Linked DNA regions of Macaca mulatta. The protein of the gene in region 2 interacts with the protein of the main gene of each other region in a pairwise test. Links are inferred from orthologs where the notes say so. Each region holds a gene or a part of one and is shown on either strand. Other genes may lie near its edges.

Region 1 (3,645 bases), on a different chromosome or scaffold from region 2:
ATTTAACTGTATATCTTGGTTTCTAAATACCCCTCTCCATTAAAAAGAACCACAGCTCCTTGGATAGGAGGCTAATTCCATATCTGAGGGAGAAAAAATGTGAGGTGAACCTGGAATATCTTGTTATGCCCCAGATCAAAGAAGGCTCAGAATTAAGGGGGTTATGTCAAAAGGACACAGGAGCCAATCTAGAGAGACTCCCACTGGCCAAATATAAGACAATAAAATGACAAAAAGAATAATTACTGTAATTGATAACATACTAGTAAATAGAAATTCACAAGTCCATCATAACATTAAAAAAAAAAGGGGGTCTATGGCCATACCACCCTGAACACGCTTGCTCTCATCTGATCTTGAAGGCTAAGCAGGGTTGGGCCTTTTTCATACTTGGATGGGAGACTCCTAGGAATACCAGGTGCTGTTGTAGGCTAAAAAAAAAGGGGGGGGGGTGAAAGAAAGAAAATAGGGAAAACGCTCTTTGTTATAGAGGAAAGCCAGTTAACAGAAGATACAATAAAACAGAAAATCACCATTTTTCAAAACCTCCACTAGAAATAACTGGTTCAGGCAAGGCTCATCTATGGGTCCTAAAACGGTTAGGTAAAAGGATATTGAGGAACACAATATTCCCATGATGCCAACTTATCACTCCACAGATTAGTTACTAACATGCAAAGGGAAAAAACTGTACCTTACAATAGAGACAACTAGAGATCATCATCTTAACCAATGGGTCAAAGTCAGCCTCACCCAGGGGCCACCTGACATCATGGGCCTCCTGATGGGATGCAGTTGGAAGTATAACCTCAGCTGTAACTGTTTAAATTAAAATTAATTAAAATTGGCAAAATTAAAAATACAGTCTTCAGTGTCACAAACCACATTTTAAGTGCTCAATAGCCATATATGAGCAGTAGCTGTATTAGATAGCATCAGTATATATACAGAACATTGCCATCACTGCAGAAAATTCTATTGGACAGTGCTTGTATAGACCACATTTCCAGTCCACAGGAAATACAGGGGATGCTGTGCAAGTTAAATGATGCCTTAGATTCAGAATGTGGATCATTCTACAAGCAGATGAACTGCCTTTTCAAAACAGCCAATTACATGGGGAAAAAAAAGGAGGAATGGTAGGAGACTAAATTCAATTAAAAGAGACAAAAAAGGCACAATAATCAATAACGCAAAAAACAATACGTGAGCCCTAGTTGGCTCCTGGTCTGGAAAAATAAGTTACTTTTTGGGAGAAGTGGGGAAATCCAAATATGAGCTGAATATTAAATAATATTATGTCTGGGTGCAGTGGCTCAAACCTGTAATTCCAGCACTCTGGGAGGCCAAGTCAGGAGAATTGCTTGAGACCGCGAGTTCAAGACCAGCCTGGGCAACATAGACCTCATCTCTACAAAAACTAAAAAATTAGCCAGGCATGGTAGTGCACACCTATAGCCCCAACTTAAGGCTGAGGAAGGAGGCTTGCTTGAGCCTAGAAGGTTGAGGCTACCATAAGCCATGATCACGCCACTGCACTTCAGCCTGGATGACAGGGTGAGGCCCTGTCTCAAAAAACAAAATATTATGAAATCATTTTTAATCTTCTTAGATATGATAATGGTATGATTATGTAGGAGACTGCCCCTGCATTTAGGAGATCCATGCTCAAAGGCTTAGGAAAGAAATGTCATGATGCCTGCAGCAGACTTTCAATGGCTCAGAGAAAAGAAAAAATATATACAAAGCAAATACAACAAGATATTTAAAATTATTGCATCTAAATGGAGAATTATGAGTGTTCATCACAATAATTATGTTAACTCTTCTGTGTATCTGATAATTTTATAATAAAAGGCTGAAGAAAAACTGCAGGGCAAAAGAAAAAAAAAGGTAGGGGGGCTCAGTAGCAGGCTAGCAGGCAGAATACTGAATTCAACTCCTCCTGTGATCAATGTTAAGGTGGGTTAAACTGGACAACACCTGACCAGTGGAAATGGTGAGGATAAAGGCCTAGCTCCTGGCCCTCCACACTTGGCCTAATTTGTGGAGCAGCAGGTAGCCAAGCAGCAGCAGGTAGCCAAGCACCTGCACTTCAAGGGGAAAAAGGTGCCAGAAAAAGAGAGGGCTGCAAGGGCAGTTACTCTGGGTCACACAGTCCAGGAGCATGAAGGTAAACTCCTCGGGGACAGTTCTATCTTTACTGCTGTCCCAATGCACTGTTTGCCAGAGAGGGGCCCAGATCACAGAAAAAGAACCCTTTCAAGACAGAATCAGTTTCTAGAGGGAACCCCAATGCTGCTCAAATTCAGTCATTCAGCCAACAAATACCATGCATTACACCGTGCCAGGTACTGGCTAGTGATCTTGCCTGTGTTACAGATATCCCATTGATTCCTCAACTAAAGAAGAATCTTGGAAAATGCAGTTTCAAGTTCTCTGATAAAATTTAGCCATACGGTAATTCACAGAAAAAGCTGATACTTAATCCTAAGTATGAACAACTAAACATTAGTGACTACCACTGATCTGAAAATTACTACTCATTATTTCTCATTTTAGCAAAAAAAAGATTAAAAACAAAACATAAACCTGGGGTGTGCACCTGTAATCTCAGCTACTCGAGTGGTACGCAGCTACATGGGGTGTGCACCTATAATCTTAGCTACTCGGGTGGTACACAGCTACATGGGGTGTGCACCTGTAATCTCAGCTACTCGGGAGGTACACAGCTGTATGAGGTGTGCATCTGTAATCTCAGCTACTCGGGAGGTACACAGCTACATGGGGTGTACACCTGTAATTTCAGCTACTCAGAAGGTACACAGCTACATGGGGTGTGCATCTGTAATCCCAGCTACTCAGGAGGTTGAGACAGGAGGAATGCTTAAGCCCAGGAGTTCAAGTCTAGCCTGGGTAACACATTGAGGCCCCATCTTGGAAAAAATAAATAAATAAATAAATAAAATAAAACATAGTAAAAAACAGGAAGTCACCTTCAGTTTTTGAAGCTTCTCTGTATTTGTGGTGAAGTGTACAACATGAGCTTGGACACGCTCAAATCGCTTTAAATATTCTTGGTTTCGAGTACGAGCCTTCTTTTCAGATTCACATATTTCCTTCAGATAATTCTTTAGTTTTACATATTTCAGCTTAACTCTAGAAAATTAAAAGCAGTTTTAAAACAATGGACTAGACTTGGACAAATCTGAGAAAGAGAATTTTCTTTATCAAAATTGTTAATGAGACAACGTATTCTAAGATATTTTACCCAAACCACTAAAACCCAAAGGACAAAATGCATATACACATTTTTGGAGAGAGAAAATTAATGCAGTACCACTGAGCTATCATATCGGTTTCCTCTAAGCACAACTCCCCTGAGAAATATATACAAGACCACATTCTAACATTCACACAGTAAAGATTTCTATGGACTTATTTCTCAAAATTAAATGTGATTTCAAGAGTCGTGTCTATATGGACATGTTTGACGAATGGCTCACTAAGATTCTTATACACAACTATTTCAAAAATAACTGCTCATAAGGAATTAAATCAAACTACAAATCACAATCCATAAAATTAAGAAATTTAAAAGAAATTTTAAAATGTTAAAATACCAAAAGCTCTCATTTAGATAAC
Region 2 (4,107 bases):
CACACCGGGATGTGGAGGGTCACCCCTCTTGTTTCCCCAGAGCGGCAGACCTGGCCAGCCACTGGCCATTTGTCCTCCCAGAGCTGCGTCTGCCCCTGTGTCCTCCAGAGGTCCCCCCTTGAAATCCCTTTCCAACCACTGCACCCCCCATCTCCCACCTGTCTGTCATCCAACTGGCTGAGACGGGGACCTTCCAGAGCCCCAGTTACCACCTGGGGCCCAGCCCAACACCCCCCGGACAACTCTGAGGGTCCCACCTGCACAGAGGCCCTCCTCAGCCTCTGCCTCTGTGGCGCCCCCAAACTGGAACTGCCTCCAAATCCGCCCGTTCTCCCCACACCCACCTTCCAAGGCCTAGAGCAATGCCACCCTCCACACAGTCCCTCCGACCCCTTCTGTTGGACTCAATCAACAGTTGCCTTCTCCTGGCCACTGCCCGCAACCACGACAAGCAAAGGCTGCTTGGCCTTGGAACCCCCAGGCATGTGACGGTTCAGGACATGGTGAGCCGGGGCATCCCCTGCCCAAGGTTCTGTACTTGGGTTCCCGTCACCTGCAAGCCAGCGCCGGCGGCGCCCCTAAGCGCGCTCAGCCCACGCCGCGGTCCCTCTGGATGAGGACCGGCGCCTCTCCCCAGCTGCGCCCAGGCGCTTTCGGGGCCTCGGCGAGCTGGCGGAGGCCTCCTCCTGACCTCCCAGCAAGCCCTGCGCAGGAGAGGACGCGGCTGGCCGGCCGGAGCAGCCTCACCGAGCGGCAGCAGCGAGTGGCACAACAGCGTGGCGGCCGTGCGGCGCAAGTGGAAGGGCACGAAGGCGGCGTCCTCGCTGCCCAGCCAGCCCGACAGCAGGTTCTGCACCGTGAGCCCCGCCGCGTGGAACTCGTTAGGCGTGAACACAAAGCACACGGCGAACACCAGATAGGCGAGAGTGAAGGTCACCTCGGGGCTGTCCATCGCGCCGCCGCCGGGAAGCTGTCCGGCGAGGACCCCGCCCCCGGCGCGGGGAAGAGGCCGCAGCGCCCAGACCCCGACGTGTCGGTTGCGGCAGCCGCCACCCGGCCGCCCGCGGGGCACTCTAGGAGATGGAGTCCCGCCGCCCGGCCGCCCGCGGGGCGCTCTGGGAGATGCAGTCCCCGTGAGGGTGCGGCCTCTCTTCAGGGCCCGCCCTGGAGGCGGCACTGCACCTGGTCTCAATGCACAGCTGGGGAAACTTAGGCCTGAGCCAGCGGCTCTCAGTCCCTGGCCACGAAGCCCCGCCCAGTAGCGTCAGCTGCAGAACCCGAAATTCGTGCGGCGACGGCGAGCCGGCGGTCTCAGCTTCAGACACCCCCGGCAGGCCCTCCACTCCGGAAACGGAACCGTCGGCGCACGGGGGGGCGGGGCCGGCGAGACACAGCTTCCCATTGGACCCCCACCCTCCTACGGTCCCGCCCCCGGCCGCGTGCTGATTGGCCGCGCGAAGGCAACCGTCGGCGTTTGAAACTCGGGCGCGCCGGCGGCCATCAAGGGCTGGAAGCGCGGCAGCGGCAGCAACTAGGCTCGCCCCCGGCGCGGAGCAGACGCATATCCAGACCCCTCCTTCCTGGCGGCGGCGGCGCGGGCTCAGAGCCCGGCAACGGGCGGGCAGGCAGGTAGACGAGCGTCTACACGGCACGGGGAGGCTGGGGTCCCGGGGGCGCGAGGCCGTCCCGCCCCGCCCTCGGCCCTCGCCTTCCCGCCCTGGCCGCAGCTTTCCCCGGGAAGCGTCCCCCACGGCTTCTTCCCGGGCCGCCGGGGCCCGTCCCGCGCCCTGTCATGGGACCCGGCCCTAGACCGACCACCGGGCTGGATCCCCTGGGCGGTGGCCGGGGGCGGCTAGGGCTGGGCCGAGCCCGACGGCGGAGCGGGCGCCCTGAAGTGCTTTGTTCTCTTCGACCCTCTCCTGCCTCTCGGCCGCCCACCCTGGTTCTTTGTTGGCTCCCAGCTCGCAGACCCTCTTGTGGTTCTTTGGTCCCTTCCGGCCTCCGTCCTGGTGCCAACTCCATCTGGGCCACCTGTGGCGGACACCTGGGCCCCGACCGCTTCCCCGCACCTGCTGCGCCGCTCCATCTTCCCCCGCGCCGCATCCCACTTGTGCACCAGAGTAGCATCAAAGCACCGGCCTGGGGCCGGTCCCTTCCCTGCCCAGAGCCCCTCCCGGGGCTCCATAGTCGGTAAAGGCCCCTCCTGACCAAGGCTGGGTCTGCTGCTCTCCCGCACTCCTCCAGGCCGCCGGAAGGCTTCCTCCGAGTCACTTTCTCCCTGAGTTCCAGGCTTGCGTGTCCCCCAGTGATCCAGCTGCCCTTCCCCTGCCCTGTACCCAGTTATTCAGGCCAAAAACCTAAGCGTCGTCTGTAAGTCCCATATATGCCAGTGGCCAGGCCCGGGTCTGGTCTGGCCTCTACTCCTCGGGCTGCAGAAGCGTGTGGTTTCCCTGCTTCCCTCCTGCCCTTACTTCCCTACCCACACACAGCACCACAGTGGGCTTCTCAAGCTGCAGCACCGACCTGCCCGGGCTGCCCCTCTCTCTTCTCCAGGACCCTCCCCAACTTTGCTCTTTTTCAAATCAAAGCCTTCCCAGGTCCCCCACCACCAACAGGTGCCCGTGGGGTTCCTGCCCAGGTCGACACTCGGTTCTCTCTGGCAGCCTTTCTGCCTACGTCATTCCCTAGACTGGGAACGCTGTAGACAGAAAGGGTGGCAAGTGTGTGGGTGACTGGTGTGAGGACCTGGGCGGCCCTGGAACCTGGGACTGACTGGAGGCCCTGATATGGAAGCTCCTTGGCACCTGCTGCTCAGCTCTGGGCGTCCCTTGTTCGCCTACTGTCTCCCAGCTCCTCCTCTGGGCCTTCACCCCAGCCTGGTCTTGTCCCGCTGCCTAGCCCGGTGGGAGAAAGCAGACCAGAGCCGCTGTCCTGCTTTTCTGCCCTCTGCTGCCCGGTCCTGCCTCACGCCACACGCGGAGGCCGGTGGGGAGACCGCGGCTTCCTCTGGCTCTTCTGGGTTTCTTATAGGCCAGGGCTTTCCTGTCTCCTGACTTCTGCCTGACGTGGTAATACAACAGTAGAGATTATGCGGTCTTGGTTTTTCTTTCTCACCATCTTAGCCTGAAGGCCCTTTAGCTCTTGGTCCCAGGAGGCAGCGGTGCTGCCCATGGCTCCCGGTGCCAGGCTGGAGAGTGAGTCTCTGAAGCAGGATGGGGACTCAATCGGAGGCTTTCTCTGCCCCACTTGGCAGAGGACATGTGTGGGAGGTGTGAGCTCCAGAACAATGAGCACACCTGTGCCGGAAGGGGTCGTGCTCCCTGCGGCAGCTGTCATGTCTGTGTCTGGACAACATGGTTGTGTTGCCCTCACACTGACACAAACATGTTCTGCTTTTCCAGAATGAGTCTGCAGGTCTTAAACGACAAAAATGTCAGCAGTGAAAAAAGTACAGAAAATTGCGACTTCCTGTTTTCCTCACCAGAAGTTACCGGAAGATCGTCTGTTCTTCGTGTGTCACAGAAAGAAAATGTGCCACCCAAGAACGTGGCCAAAGCTATGAAGGTAAGTGTGACCTCTACAGTGTGTGGCTAGCCAGGTTGCCCTAGGACCTGCTTTCCTGGTGACCTCTGAGCTGCAGGACACTGCTGGTGTGGCTGTAACAGCTTGAACTAATGAATGGGTGCTCTCCTCCTCACTCCACAACAGGTGACTTTTCAGACACCTCTGCGGGATCCACAGACGCACAGGATTCTAAGTCCTAGCATGGCCAGCAAACTTGAGGCTCCTTTGGCTCAGGGTGATACCCTTGGACTGGAAAACTGTCACCCGGTGTGGACTCAGAAAGAGAAGTAAGTGTTCATGCTACTGGACATGCTGGAGCTTCACCCTCTCTGTCCGATGGCTCTTGCAGAAACGTGCTGTCCTGTTCTGTCAGGCCTTGGCTGGAATTTTTTTTTTTTTTTTTTTTTGAGATGGAGTCTTGCTCTGTTGCCCAGGCTGGAGTGCAGTGGCACTATGTCCACTTACTGTAAACTCTACCCACCCCAGGTTCATGCCATTCTCCTGCCTCAGGCTCCCCGAGTAGCTGGGACTACAGGCACCCGC

Evidence for each region. The genes of interacting proteins can lie anywhere in the genome.
Region 1: the proteins of TACC3 (region 2) and KIZ interact in binary tests that used the Homo sapiens proteins (3 or more experiments, as listed by UniProt). The two-hybrid records come from large-scale screens. The link is inferred for Macaca mulatta from reciprocal best matches to the Homo sapiens genes TACC3 and KIZ.

What each region holds. Positions count from the first base shown.
Region 1 is NC_133415.1:62,912,548-62,916,192, forward strand, and holds part of KIZ (centrosomal protein kizuna), read right to left. Parts: intron 3,160-3,645; coding exon 2,997-3,159; intron 432-2,996; coding exon 327-431; intron 1-326. UniProt on the Homo sapiens protein: Centrosomal protein required for establishing a robust mitotic centrosome architecture that can endure the forces that converge on the centrosomes during spindle formation. Required for stabilizing the expanded pericentriolar material around the centriole.
Region 2 is NC_133410.1:1,837,464-1,841,570, forward strand, and holds the start of TACC3 (transforming acidic coiled-coil-containing protein 3), read left to right. Parts: upstream 1-1,276; 5' UTR 1,277-1,629; intron 1,630-3,401; 5' UTR 3,402-3,402; coding exon 3,403-3,564; intron 3,565-3,708; coding exon 3,709-3,851; intron 3,852-4,107. Other genes in the region: TMEM129 (E3 ubiquitin-protein ligase TM129), read right to left, coding at 748-952. UniProt on the Homo sapiens protein: Plays a role in the microtubule-dependent coupling of the nucleus and the centrosome. Involved in the processes that regulate centrosome-mediated interkinetic nuclear migration (INM) of neural progenitors.